Linked DNA regions of Canis lupus familiaris. The protein of the gene in region 2 interacts with the protein of the main gene of each other region in a biochemical or structural test. Links are inferred from orthologs where the notes say so. Each region holds a gene or a part of one and is shown on either strand. Other genes may lie near its edges.

What was found.
Region 1: the proteins of NFE2L2 (region 2) and ENC1 form a complex in vitro, tested with the Homo sapiens proteins (2 studies listed by BioGRID). The link is inferred for Canis lupus familiaris from reciprocal best matches to the Homo sapiens genes NFE2L2 and ENC1.

Annotation. Positions count from the first base shown.
Region 1 is NC_049223.1:56,426,345-56,433,502, forward strand, and holds part of ENC1 (ectoderm-neural cortex protein 1), read right to left. Parts: intron 5,604-7,158; 5' UTR 5,591-5,603; coding exon 3,821-5,590; 3' UTR 3,791-3,820; intron 1-3,790. UniProt on the Homo sapiens protein: Actin-binding protein involved in the regulation of neuronal process formation and in differentiation of neural crest cells.
Region 2 is NC_049257.1:21,321,720-21,328,877, forward strand, and holds part of NFE2L2 (nuclear factor erythroid 2-related factor 2), read right to left. Parts: intron 3,807-7,158; coding exon 3,540-3,806; intron 3,014-3,539; coding exon 2,924-3,013; intron 2,288-2,923; coding exon 2,096-2,287; intron 875-2,095; coding exon 1-874.

The DNA.
Region 1 (7,158 bases), on a different chromosome or scaffold from region 2:
GAGCAGAGCACCGTGCAGCCCCCTGAGGGGCAGGCCCCCCTTGGCCGCCCCGCAAAGGGCTCCGAGTGCAGATCCCCCACTTGTACAAGGCACAGTAACCCGCCCACCGAAGCACATCTCTGCTGTCCAAGTGCCACAAGTCCATCTCGCTCCCTTCCAGCGACACCACAGGCCGCCCCAGCCCACGGCTGGAGCCTGTCCACACTCGGGACGTGCCAGCCAAGGCACGACTGCCAACCTGCGGGATCCACCGCCGTCAAGCGAGCACGAGCATCAAGTGGAGCCACAGGCCTGCGCGTTGCGTGGGACCAGCTTCCCCACGCGGCCCCTGCCCATCCCGTGGACCTGATTTTCCACGGGTAAGTGCAGCCGCCTCCGCCCCCCACTCACGCACCAGCCGCCCACAGACCCCGTCCAGGCCCCGCGCAGGCCCCCAGCCCGGCGCCGCTGCGAGTGCAGACAAAGGGCGTTCAGGAGGGGCCGCCGGTCACTCGCAGTTCTCCTCCCTTTTGTGTGTTCAGAGTCGGATTCATTTCATTCGTTGGTTCCTTTGGCAGCTTCCTGACGGCGACTCAAGGCTCCGGAGGCATTCCTCAGGCCTGTGTCCGCCCCCAGCCCCGCCTCGGGCACCTAGGGCTCACCAGCAGGCCAGAGGACGCGTTTGATAACTGGAACAGTATCAGCGTTCACAGCAGTGCATCCTCCAACGGAGGGGGGGTGGACTCTAAAAAAAGGGAAGAGGCAGAGCACAGGGAAATCCGAGGGCCGTCAGGTTGGGGCCACACGGCACCACAAAAATGGGAGCGTCCTCAAGAGTGATTTCCTTCTTGTCCTTCCCACCGACACAGCAGCAGGAGACAGTTAAAATCCCCCCTGGTGAATGAGCTTTTAGACCCAGGGAAACCTCTTGTTAACACGTATTAATTCGGTTAGCACCCACGTCTGAGATCAAAGAGACGTTCCGGAAGTCTCTGCAGCTTACGGCTGAAACCTGCACAGCACCTCTTTTAAGTCACCCTATCCAGCTTAAGTGTTTTAACACTATATTGTGTGTAGAAAACTTCAGAAATTTACACCAACATTCTCCCTATGGGAGACCGCAAGGGTGGCTTTGATGAGGCCCACACCGCCCTTAAAGAGGCCAATGCGACCCTGTCAAACTGCCCTGTTCGGGGCTGGACTCCGACGGGCGGCACCGGGGCTGGGGCTGCTGCACCTACGACCTAACACTTGATCTGCTCGGTTCCCAGGGCCCAGAAGTATGTGATTAGGATCAAATAGCCAGGATGGGGCGAATTCGAGCACCAGACAACATCCCCTGGGCTGCGTGGGGAGGCACTAAAAAAAACGAAGACTAGAGGTAACAAGTGGGTGGCAGTCAGAGGAACCGCACTTCCCCACCACACGCGAAGCTAATTCCGTGGCAGGCCGAGGTCTCAGCTGAAGAAGGGAAGAAACCTAAGAGTGTCGAACACTTAACATGGGCCAGATGCTGGGCAGCGTGTTCTCTCCCCTTTTCTTCCCTCATTTATCAATGAGCCCGGGCCTGAGTGGGGACAGAGCGTGCAGAAGCCCTAGTGCAGCACAGTCACGGGACAAAGGAGGGGTCTGAGTCCAGAGGGTTCCAGACGGCACCCCGGAAACCCAGACCGGGATGCACCGTGGTCTTTCCCTGCCTCGGCTTCCTTCCTCCTTCCTTCCTTCCTTCAGTCCAAAGATGCCAGCCTGTCCACGGCCACCATCGCGCCAAGGGCTTGGCTCTCCTCTGCAAATATAGTCAATTCTGGGCTAACACCGAACTCAGTGTGCTTTTAATTGATGCTTTTGCCCAGAAGGTTCTTTAAACCTGCTTTAGAGGTGAGTCATGCACTCATATCGCAGATGAAATAACCACGTTCAGAGCATTTGTTTACTCAGGATTACTGAGATGCCAGCAAGGCTGCAAAAACCAGTTTGGTGTGGGACGCCGTCAGCACAGTCACTCCCCACAGGAGGTTTCTGACTGTTCCAGCTCCTCTGAAGGAGTTTCATTCCAAGGTTACATCCTATTAGCAAGCTGTGCTAACTCTAACAGGCTGGAGGAGACAACTGAACCAATGGAAAAAACAAAAACAAAAACAAAGATTCATTGTCAAAATGAGGCCAATTTTAGTGATGTTCGAAAATGAGCTATAAGAAAGGTGGAAAGGAAAGACCAATGAGTCGAAATCCCTCTTTGCTCAGCTCACAAAGATCCCTAGATTTCCGTTTTCCCCTCTGAAAGTCCTCTTGAAAAAGTATGACACAGGGAATCCCCGGGTGGCTCAGCGGTTTAGCGCCACCTTCAGCCCAGGGCGTGATCCTGGAGTCCCGGGATCGAGTCCTGCATCCAGCTCCCTGCATGGAGCCTGCCTCTCCCTCTGCCTGTGTCTCTGTCTCTCTCTCTATGTCTATCATAAATAAATAAATAAGTCTTAAAAAAAAAAAAAAGGCAGAAAAAAGAAAAGTGTGACACATACTCGGATCACAGAGCCAAAGCTTCCCAGGCAATGGGTTAGTTTTCGTTGTGCTTCCTCCAAAGCAGAGTTTTAACTTTATTCTCTTATTATTAATAACAAGCCCGCGAATTACCAAAGCCAATCAACACGTTCCACGTGCTCGTGCTGCCCTCAAGACATGCTTAAGTGCTTCCTGGGGCCAAGAGCAAGGATGCTTAACGGCAGCAAAGCGGCCATTAGCTTCGCGAACACTGAACTGCGTCGGCCTATTAATTATTTGAGCCAAGAGTATTATATACTCTTAAGCACACAAGACGACCATTATGGACTCAGATATATGACACAGAAAGACGACTTTTGTTCGCCCTGACAAAAGGGTCAGCCTGTCTGATTAACTCTGAAAGGCTGCCGTGTAAGGCAGTCTGGATGGCTCAGTGTGTCCACGCATCAGACAAATTTAAACAACGCAGGTGTAACCTTTTACGAGCAGAGACCCCGGTTTCCTTCTGAAGTTAATAAATGCCCTAAAGGGGGCTATTTTTTTTGTTGAGGAAAAAATTTTTAAATAAGCGATAAATAATTGGAGAGAAAACAAACTAGGAAAAAAACTTAAGCATTCCGGTTCTTACACCCTCCTTCATTCCAGAAAGCATTGAGGAATCGAAATTTGAGTATCAACCAATATCTCCTGGGGTGATAACCCGTAGGAAGCTCAAGTTTGTTAAGAAGCAGTTCAGCAAACGCTCAAGCGCTTCCACTCTGGAGCCTGAGCCCCCGGGTTGGTTTCTCGACCCGCTCCTCCACCTACGAAGCTCTAGGACTTTGGGCAAGTCGCTCAACCTCTGTGCACCGGTTGTTCCCATCCCTACAGTGCTCTAGGAATAGTATCTCGCAAGGCTGTTGTCAGGATCAGACGAAGTGACCCACGGAGCCCCCGGCCCCAGGTGTGCAGGGAGGCCCAGCAGAGCCTGGCTGGCATTATTAACCTAAGGCACAAGGCAGGGGCTCCCAACTGGGCCGCACAACAGCATCATGAGAGAACCCCCTGGCGATGCCCGTCCCAGATCCCACCTCTGGGACGGGCAGTTTTGAGATGCTGGTTGGGAGACGCGGGGGCTCAGCCAAGGCTGGGACCCCCGGCTCCAGTTAGGGGCAGGGCCGGGCAGCTGCGGTCGACCCCGGTGCTTTCCATTCTGGGGAGCAGGGTGTTTGACTTGAATAGTTCGGGGACTACCTCTGCACCGGTCACTCTCACTCTTGGAGGGACTCGCGCCGCTCAATTCCCCGCATACTCACCCGGGACCACTCCTTACCTCACGCTCATCCCCCGAAGGGCGCCGCGCTTAGGAAGGCAGGTGCTTCCAGGTGCTGACGAACGCAGTGGGGATCAGCGAGTACGGGACCGTGGTTATGCTGTTCCACACATCTAACGTGGGGTCGTAGCAGTCCAGAGTCTTGCACCGCTGGATGCCAAAGTATCCCCCGACCACGTAGAGTTTGTTTCCGGAGGCCACAGCGTGGCAGCTCATGCGCTTTGCGGTCACGTCTCCCACCTTGGTCCACTGGTACGTCTCGCTGTTGAATTTGTAGGCGGAGCAGGCCGAGAACTCGGTGTCCCCACCCATGATGAAGATCTGGTTGCCCAGCACAGCTGCAGCCGTGTAACGCCAGGGCTGGGGGCAGGTGGCGGGCACCGTCCACCTGTTCTCACACTGATCGTAACACTGAACCTTAGGGAGCTTGTCATGACTGACGCTGGTACCTCCGAAAGCGAACAGCTTGAGCTTGGCGCTCACCACCGCCGCGTTGCTGACACCTTCTCGGAGTGGGGCCACCATGGTCCACTTGTTGGTCGTGGGGTCATAGTGTTCTACTTGCTTTAGAGAGACGGAGGGGGAGGCCGGGAGGCAGCCCGTTGCGGCCGTGTGCCCCCCGACCACATACAGGCAGTGCTTCAGTTCGGCAGAGCCGTGGCCAAACCTGGCCACCAACATGGGGGCGGCTTTGGACCACTCCTCGTGCAGGGTATCATACACCCAGACGTCTTTCGAGACTCCGTTCTCAGACCCCCGGCCCCCGGTGATGTATACTTTGCAGCCAATTGCACACGCGCTGAATTCTTTTCTTGGGCTGGGGATGTCGGCCTTGGGGATGATCTCTTTGGCCTTCTGGTCTACCAGATACAGCTTATCGCACATGAAGGTCTGCCCTCCCAAGAGGAACAGAGCGTGGCCGGTTTTCCGAGGCCGGGCACAGAGGCTGGTCACCACGCCATCGTTCTGCAGGATTTTTAGTTTGCACCTGATGGCCTCTTCCACTATCTCCTTGCTCTTTCTCTGCTTGGTAATGAGTTCCTCCATGGCCACGTTCTCCATGAGGTAAATGGCGGGGAGGAGGGCCAGCCTCACCGTCTGCAGCAGCTCTGGGAGGTAGCAGTAGCGCTTCTTCAGGTCGTAGCTGATCCAGTTAATTGCAGACTCGTACACGAGCCTTTCATCTTCTGTCTCCAGCTCTTCGCTGGACAAGAGCTGCACCACCATGTCCTGGGGCAGCTGGAGGAAATCTTCGTTCTTCCTGATGGTCTGGAAATTGCTGAGACACATTCGCCAGGAGAGTTCATAGAGCTTCGTGCACTGGTGTGCGTCGGAGAGCAGCAGCATGCCCAGGCAGTTGGTGGGATGCAGATTCTTTTCTAGGAACTCGGCGCACGCATCCCGGATGTCCTGAAACTCCAGCATGTCGCCGGCTTCCAGGAGCGACTCTGCGTTTTCTTCATTGATGATGACCCGCGAGGAGTAGGCGTAGTCAAGGAGCAGCTCCAGGACCTCCGGGTGGATGGAGTTGTCGAAGTTGACCTCGCTGTCCTGGCTCTCCTTCAGGCCGCCGCTGAACATGGCCTCAAAGTAGCGGCTGCACGCGGCCAGCACGGCCCGGTGGCAGGGGAAGGTCCTGTTCCCCGCGTGGAGGAGGACGTCGGTGAAGAGGCGCTGCTGGCGCAGAAGGTTCAGATGCGTGAGGACGCTGTCGGCATAGGAAGACTTGTGGAACAGGTAGATGTTGATGGAGCCGGAGCTGGCCCTGGACTTGCGGTTCTCGTGCACGCTGACCGACATTGTGTTTCCTCTCCTAAAACCAAGACACAGCAAAACAGGCCATTGAACGGGGGACGCTCTCGACGTTCAGAACAGCACAGCAAAGCAAACAAATGGCTGTGACCGGAGAAAACACAGGGCTTTGCCGTTAGCCTGCAGTAATGGGCAGCCCTTCCCGCAGAGCCACAGACACCACCCAGCAGCCAAGGCATCTCCCTGTAATGCTGTTGAGCTGCTCGAGCACTGTTTAAAAAAAAAAAAAAAAATCACGGCTCGGAAGCAGGTTCATCTTGGAAAACCTGACTGCCAACTTTGAGGAGACTGAAGTCCTTGAGAATGTAAGACGGCAAAACCCCAGAGGAGGGAGGTCTGACTCGCAGGGCTCCCGGTCCTCGTCCAGCTGATTCACTGCAGGCCACTTAGAATGCCAGCCTTCCAGCTCTCGTAACGCCGGCATGGGCACCAGCTCTCATGCCCTATGCAACATAAAGCCATGTGTAAAACAAATACCTACTAATTAATTCCATCAAGAATTCCTTTAGTAAGAGCCGGTGTCTCTGTGTACCACGGTACATGGGAGACGTAATATTAGGGTCATAGGCTTAGGCCAACTCCTTCCAAGATCAGATCTTTATTAAAACCTTACAAATAACTTCTGGCCGACAACGCCACCAGGACAGGGCCCTCAAACAGCACCAACATAAACATTACCATATATTGATTAGCAGGCTTTTGTGAAAACACAGAACAGACTCTGGCCACAATCACCACCCATGTGTCTTGGCTCTGGACAGCTTCCAAAATGAGGATTTGCACACATAAAAGGAAGAATATTTTGAGCAGCCTACTCATCACTGCTGTTTTTCTGTTCTTCCTGCTTTATATCAATTCTTGGAAAACCAGTTGCAAGAACAAAGGATCTATCCGTCCCCCTCTTCGGATTGAACAGTGAGTGCATCACCAGGCTCATTCTCACGGACCTGCAAACACCGCCACGTGCAGGGGGGGTTCAAAATGCAAACACTGTTTTATGTAAGTCAAAAGCACACGCATTTGTGCTCTTGTGCTAGGGCCACCCTTGTCTTTATTTGCCAAGTAAAGTCCTTTCCTCCAAATTACTGAAATCATAGCAAAATCTAATGCTGTCTTTGGCTTTCCTCAGTAAGTCAGCTGTAGGTTCAGGATCTGGGAAATACCTGTCACCCATCTTCAAACACTGAATCACATGCTTTTTTTTTTTTTTTTTCTTTTCTATCCTTCTGTTACTTCAAAAGAATAAAGCCTTCAAGAACCTGCCCGTCAAAGGGTTCCTAAGGAAGCTGTTTATGCCAAGAGGCTAAACTGTATAAGTTACAGTATCTGTTCCAAACTCAGAACAGCTAGTTCTTCCAAGCGGGCCTCCTTGTTGTTTCCTTCAACATTCCCTTAGTTATTTCTTTTCAATCTATATTGCAGTAATTGCTAATAAACAGAAATGAGTGACTCTCCACAAATTCAAGGGCTAGATACCAAGCGGCACTTCCCGACCAGCTGTGGCACAGCACGGCGCACAACAAAGGCGGGTGCCAGATGGGCCCGTGACACACTAG
Region 2 (7,158 bases):
GCTCCTTTGACATCATCTCATTGAAGTCATCAACAGGGAGGTTAATGATTTTTTCAACAGGGAATGGGATATGGAGAGCTTTTGCCCTTAGCTCATCTCTTGTGAGATGAGCCTCCAAGCGGCTTGAATGTTTGTCTTTTGTGAATGGGGCTTTTCGATGACCAGGATTTACCGGCGATTCTTTCTTTGGCGTGTTTTCACACTGGGCGTCATGCGCTGGAGCACTGGGCCCTGGAGATGGTGACGGGGGCTGGGCTGGATCTCCAGCAGACTGTCCCGGCTGTGTTTTAGGACCGGTCTGTTTGACACTTCCAGGAGCACTATCTGTCTCTTCCATTTCAGAATCACTGAAGCCAAGTGCTGTGTCTCCATAGACAGAAGATTCCACTGAGTGTTCTGGTGATGCCATGCCAGGACTTGTGTTCAGTGAAATGCCAGAGTCAGAATCGTTGAATTCTGTGCTTTCAGGGTGGTTTTGGTTAAACGCTTTACAAAGTGATAAATCAGAAACATCAATGGGCCCATTAAGAAGTTCAGAGAGTGACTGGCTGAAAGAAGCAGAGGAAGGCATGCTGTTGCTACTACTGGGTTCTGCTATGAAAGCAGAATAAAATTCATCACCAAAATCTGTGTTTATTGTGGCATCTGAATTTAATGAGTTCACTGTCAGCTGGCTGGAATCTTCTGTGGAGAGGATGCTGCTAAAAGAATCCTCGAAAGCACTGAGAAAAGGTGGACTGCAGTTACCTACTTCTTTTTCCAGTGAGGGCATTGAGGGGTAGAAATGATAATTGTTGTCGATTTCTGTCATTTTGGTTTCTGGACTTGGCACCATGCTAGTCTCGACCAACTTGTCATTCTGAATATTAAGACACTGTGGAAAAGAAATTTTTACTAAATGTAAATCAAGGTGAAATATTTTTGATAGCAGATAGTCTATATTTCATGGCAAATATTTATTTTTTAAAGATTTTATAAGTAATCTCTATACCCAATATGGGGCTTGAACTCACAACCCCGAGATCAAGATTTCCATGTTCCACCAACTGAACCGACCAAGTGCCCCTGATGGCAAATAGTTTTAAAAGCTGGAAATCTATATCTGATTCTGATTCCCCACCCCCATTCTTTCCAAGCTCTTCTGTAATTCAGCTAATTCCCATCCATTTCTAACATATTTATGTCTAAGTATGTACATTATTTTCACAGTTCCTAGGTCAGACTTCTGGTCTACAAAGACCAGATCTTTCCTCAAGACAATCAGGTGGCCCAGCAGTTTGGCGCCACCTTTGGCCCGGGATGTGATCCTGGAGGCCGGGGATCAGGTCCCGTGTCCAGCTCCCTGCATGGAGCCTGCTTCTCTCCCTCTCCTTCTGCCTGTGTCTCTGCCTCTCTGTCTGTCACGAATAAATAAATAAAAGCTTAAAAAAATTAAAAAACAAACAAACAAACAAAAAAAAAACAACTGCACGTAAGTGATCATGGGCAACTCTTGTGACTCCAGTTTATTTACGTAATCTTTACACCCAAGGTGGGGCTCAAACTCACAACTCTGAAAGAGTAGCATGCTCCTGTGACTGAGCCAGCCAGGTGCCCCTCTCAGGACTAATTTAAAAGCACCCTCTGGGACGCCTGGGTGGCTCAGTGGTTAAGATTCTGCCTTCAGTCCAGGGTGTGATCCCAGGGTCCCAGGATCGAGTCCTGCATTGGACTCTCTGCATGGAGCCTGCTTCTCCCTCTACCTATGTCTCTGCCTCTGTCTCTCATGAATAAAAAAATAAAAATAAAAGCACCCTCCTGGGCATTTGGGTGACTCAATTAAGCAGCTTCCATGGCTCAGGTCATGATCCCAGGGTCCTGGGATGGAGCCCCACATCGGGCTCCCTGCTTCCCCCTCTCCAACGCTTATGCTCCCCTGCTCTCTCCCTTATGCTCTCCTGCTCTCTCCCTCTCTCTCAAATAAATAAATAAAATATTAAAAAAAGCACCTTCCAATCCTTCCATTAAGTAGGTGGCATGTAAATAGTAACTGGATAATTAAAGGCACTGAATATCAAAGTGTCTTTGGTATTTATTGATATTAGATCTTAGTTACCTGCAGTTCTGGAATGGATAGTAGCTCCTCCCAAACTTGCTCAATGTCCTGCTGCATATTGTCTAAATCAGCAATGACTGACTGAACGGCAAGAGTCTGAGGTGACTGAGCCTGATTAGGAGCAATGAAGACTGGGTTTTCGATTTGGCTGGGAATATCAGGAACAAGGGACTGAAATGCAGCTGAAGAAACCTACAATTGACAGAGCATTTATCTCCATGAGTCTGCCAGCATCAGTGGAGAAGTACACCCCAAGGCACCCCCACAACACCTTCAACTGGACTTGGCTAACAGTTCTCTATTTCTTTAGTTATAACCACTTATGAAACCACTTATTAATGAAACAAATCTCTTTTTCCCCTGCCCGACTCTAAACTTAATCATTTACTAGTTTAGTTGTTTTATCCTATACATTCAAAGGTAAATTTCAAAATAAGTATAAATCTTTAGGATTTTTAATTTGTATGTCTCAGTAAAAATATCTAGTATAGTGCTTCAAACATAATAAATTTACTAAAAGTGTTAATTGAGCAAGTCTTGGTTTATTACCCAGCTTGCTTTTTACACACCAAAATTTATTTCTAAGTACCTACAACCAATGAGTCATTTGTTTCCATGGTTATGCAGATCCATGCTTCTGGCTATACAGCAGTAAGTGTATATTTTGTAGAGATATATTTTTTTTAATTGTAAAGTTATCTACAGGCTAAGGATTCTTTGACAAAATTTCCTCTTAAAATATTTTTTTTTACCGGAGACACACTTAGAGGATATATTAGATACAGTGATTAGATATAGTGGAGGAGTTTCACTGTTAACCAAATGTACCTCATTGTCATCTACGAACGGGAATGTCTCTGCCAAAAGCTGCATGCAGTCATCAAAGTACAAAGCATCTGGCTTGGGAATGTGGGGAACCTAGATAAAAGAGAGAGACATAAAAGAAAAAAAAGATTGTTCAGTGTCATACGGTGTTTATAATTTAGTTAGACATTTATCTTCTTTCCGAAATCAGTTTAGTGTAGTACAGAGCACAGAATCAAATCAACCAGACTATCTGGGTTTGAATCTTGGTTTCCCCAGTTTTGAGCGCTCCGGGCAAGCAAGTTACTGAATCTCTGAGCTGCAACTGCTCATCTGCAGACAAGATGCGAGTACTCTGTACTACTTTTACCGCTGCCACCACCGCTGCTGCTTGACACTTACGTATGTTTCCACAGCTTAGAAAGCACCTTCCCGTGATTTATGTCCTCCCAATCCTACAACTCTGTGAGGAACTCATCAGGAAGCTGAGGTTGGGAAGGTGACTTGATATGGTCATGAAGACAGTAAAAGGCATAAAAAAAGGTGAAGTGAAACTCAAATCCAGATGTTTTAACTCTTGGGTCGGTATTAGTTCCATAAACCCTGCCACACACCTTCCCAAGAACAGAGTTTTCTGTACCTGGGAGTAGTTGGCAGATGCACTGGTTTCCGATGGGATGTGTGGGGCTGGCTGAACCGGAAGGAATTCACCGGTCTCTTCGTCTAGTTGTAACTGAGCAAAGAAAGCTTTCTCTTGCTCCTTTTGGAGTTGTTCTTGTCTTTCCTTTTCAAGTTTTTTCTGTTTTTCCAGCTCATGCTCCTTCCGTCGTTGACTGAAGTCAAATACTTCTCGACTGACCCCAAGATCTATATCTTGCCTCCAAAGTATGTCAATCAAATCCATGTCCTATGTTTAAAAAAAGGGAAAGAGAGAGACCATGGTTAAGATGGTTTTTAAAATGGCAGATATCATGTAGTTTACATTATGCCACTGTTGATGGCCGGTGGTAGGGAGATGACGATCTGAATGGGAACACAGATCCCATGTTCTGGAAGGACACGGTTAATTCCAATCAATGAATCAAGAAACAAGAACGTACAAACAGCCATCCATTCTAATACTTATAACTTGGATTATTAATGACCGGGTGGTAGTAGAGGTCACTACGGAGCAAAGGAACACGCACATTAAAGCTCTTGAATTAAGGGAAGCCCCACACGTGTTTAATGGAATACAGAAATGAGAGTAACTCCAAGCCACTGGTTTACTATGAGAAATGGGAGTTTGGGAAACATGATCAAATATGTGGAGTTTCTTCTAAACTCAGCAAATATCCAGTTTACAGAGTGGGGGAAAACCCCTGCTAAATGTCAATCTAGCAGCTGTGAAACAGCACCATTCTTTTGGTGTTTCCTACACGGATTACTTTCCCCCATCATCTCTAGCAACTCTTGTTCCTGTGGTTCATTTATGGAAACAATCTCCGGACTTGGGTGTTCGCTCCGGAGGCCTGCACAAATGAGTACGGGGAAGTCCTGGCTAATGGTCATCTCGTGACCCGCAGGTGAAGCAGGGGGCTGCAAGGGGCTGCCCTGGGAAAGGGTTTCACTTCTGGGAAATCACAAATAACCCTCTTAAAAACAAACACAAAATAAATTAAAAACAAACAAACATGGCTCCAGGGAAGGATGGAAGGTACTAAAAGTTTTAAGATACAGGGAGAGTCTTGCCACGAGAGTAATGGTTATTTTGATCTCTGTGACAAAGCTAGGCCGACGTACCACGTCTAGATTTTTCTAATCACAAATGTGTCAAAAAGCAATTTTTCTGACTTACAACTTTAGTTTTTGGAAAAGTCTACACAGGTAGGAAATAAATTTGTATTTTTTTAAAGATTTTATGTCTCCCCCTGCCTGTGTCTTTGCCTCTCTCTCTCTCTGAATAAATAAATAAATAATATCAAAAAAATTTTTATGTATACATGAGACACAGAGGCAGAGACCCAGGCCGAGGGAGAAGCAGGCTCCCTGTGCGGAGCCCGACATGGGACTCGATCCTGGGTCCCCGGGGTCATGGCCTGGCCCGAAGGCGGTGCCCGACCGCTGAGCCCCCAGGCGTCCCCCTGTAGGACATTTAGATCACTTCCCAGCTAAGAAGTCATCTGTACTGAAAATAATATAATGAGACTAACAGTGGAGAGATCCAGGCGCGGGGAGGGGAGCAGGGCTGACAGCGGGTCCGGCCGGGGACACCGGCTGCCCCGGGGACACCGGCTCGGACACCGGCACCAGGTCTAGACCCGCCGACTGGCTCCTCCCGGGACCAAGGGGCGCGATGCCTCCTGAGCGGCTATTTCCAGCCGAGAGCGGGGAGCCCAGGCCACCTTCGGCCCGGGCCCTGGGGAGGGCAGCCTCTCTGGAGGCTTTGGGGAGCCGCCGGCCTCCCGGGCCCGGCCCGCCGCACTGACCAGCCCGCGGCTCCCCTCGGGCCTCTGGGACCACAAGTCACACGGAAAATACGAAACCCGACCGACGCGGCTCCCTGAACTGCGCGACGGAAGCGCCGCGGTGCTGAGCCCCTGACCTCGGCTCCCGCAGGGCGGAACCGGGCGCTCCTCAGCCCCGCCGCCCCTGGGAGGAGCTCCATTTCAAAGATGAGGTGTGGGGGTCCCCGGGGGCTCAGCGGTTTAGCGCCGCCTGCGGCCCAGATGTGACCCCGGGGGCCCGGGATCGAGGCCCGCGTTGTGCTCCCCGCAGGGAGCCTGCTTCTCCCTCGGCCTGGGTCTCTGCCTCTCTCTCTTTCTCTCATGAATAAATATAATCTTAAAAAAAATAAAAAAATAAAGATGATGTGTTTCCATTTTAATGGGCAGGTTTATCCAAGGGTCACATGAAACACAACGGTTCAAGGCACAGCGAATTCTACCTTAAAATCCTGAGTGGTTCAGCTCCGACCCTGGTGAACTGGGGATCCCTCCGGGCTGTTCTCCCGCTGGAGCCAGGGGGCCAGGGCCAGGGCCAGGGCGGTCCTCAGGGTCCCACACCCACTAAGCGCCAGCACTAAAGACAAGCACGATCACAGCCGCAACCAAACTCCAGTCCTTCTCGAACACTGACGGGCCAGCGAGCCGAGCTCTCCAGAGCAGTAAAAGGAACGTGGGGGCGCCCGGCTGGCTCTCGGGTACGCGTCCAGGCCATGATCTCGGGGTCCTGGGCTCCCTGCTCAGCAGTCTGCGTCTCCCTCCCCGTGCTCCCCTCCCCACACTCGTGCTTTCTCTCCAAGGCCAAGGCAGAAGCTTTTCCTTGTTGAGAGATCCCAGATAAACCCCCCCCCCAAAAAAAGAAACCATGATCCACTTTTGATTTTTTCATAAAAGCCGAATGAACACTGAAGCAGTTTCTGTTGCAAATCCCTGCTCACAGGTCAGACTATTCCAGGGTATCCCCAGAACCCAGCCCCATGGGCCGAAAGAAAATTCCTACTGTAGTTTACTCTAGAATTCCCAGGTGGCAGTCACAGGAGTTGATACATGTCTGTTCTTTCCTTTCTCCTTCTTTCCTCCGCACCAGAGGAGATGTCTCAAGTGGGTTCAGATGGTTTAGCTCTAAATTTAGTACATGCTTGTTCGAGCCTACCCCTATCATACAGATGTTGGTGGATCAACTGAGACATGAAAGAAATCTCTCTATAAATGTAAAGCATATGCTATTGTTGCTATGCATGCTGACAGTGATGGTTTTGGTTTTTTTTAGATTTTATTTATTCATGAGAGAGAGAGGGGCAGAGACACAGGCAGAGACAGAAGCAGGCTCCGTGGGAGAAGCCCGATGTGGGACTCGATCCCAGGACCCGGGATCACGACCCGAGCCAAAGGCAGATGCTCAGCGGCTGAGCCACCGGAGCGCCCAGTGATGGTTCTAACACCTGCCAGAACAGAAGATCCAACTCCAGCCAACGGATGATGATGAAGCTGTGGACCTGACTGTACTGGGCGCCTGAAGTAACACTCAGCAAAGAAGCTCCTTGGTTCCTCCTCAGGGAGGGTGTGACTACCCGGTTTGTGCAACACGTGTTGAAGACAAAGCACACAACCTCTACTTTCATGTTTACTTCTGTGTACACACACACACTTGCTCAACTGCCGTTCAGTCCCTGCTGGGCCCCCCCTTCGATGCACGGCCAAACGAATTCAATTTTAAAGAATTTCCCATTACCCACCAGGTGAATAGAATGTTGATCTGGGAAATGACTACTTGGA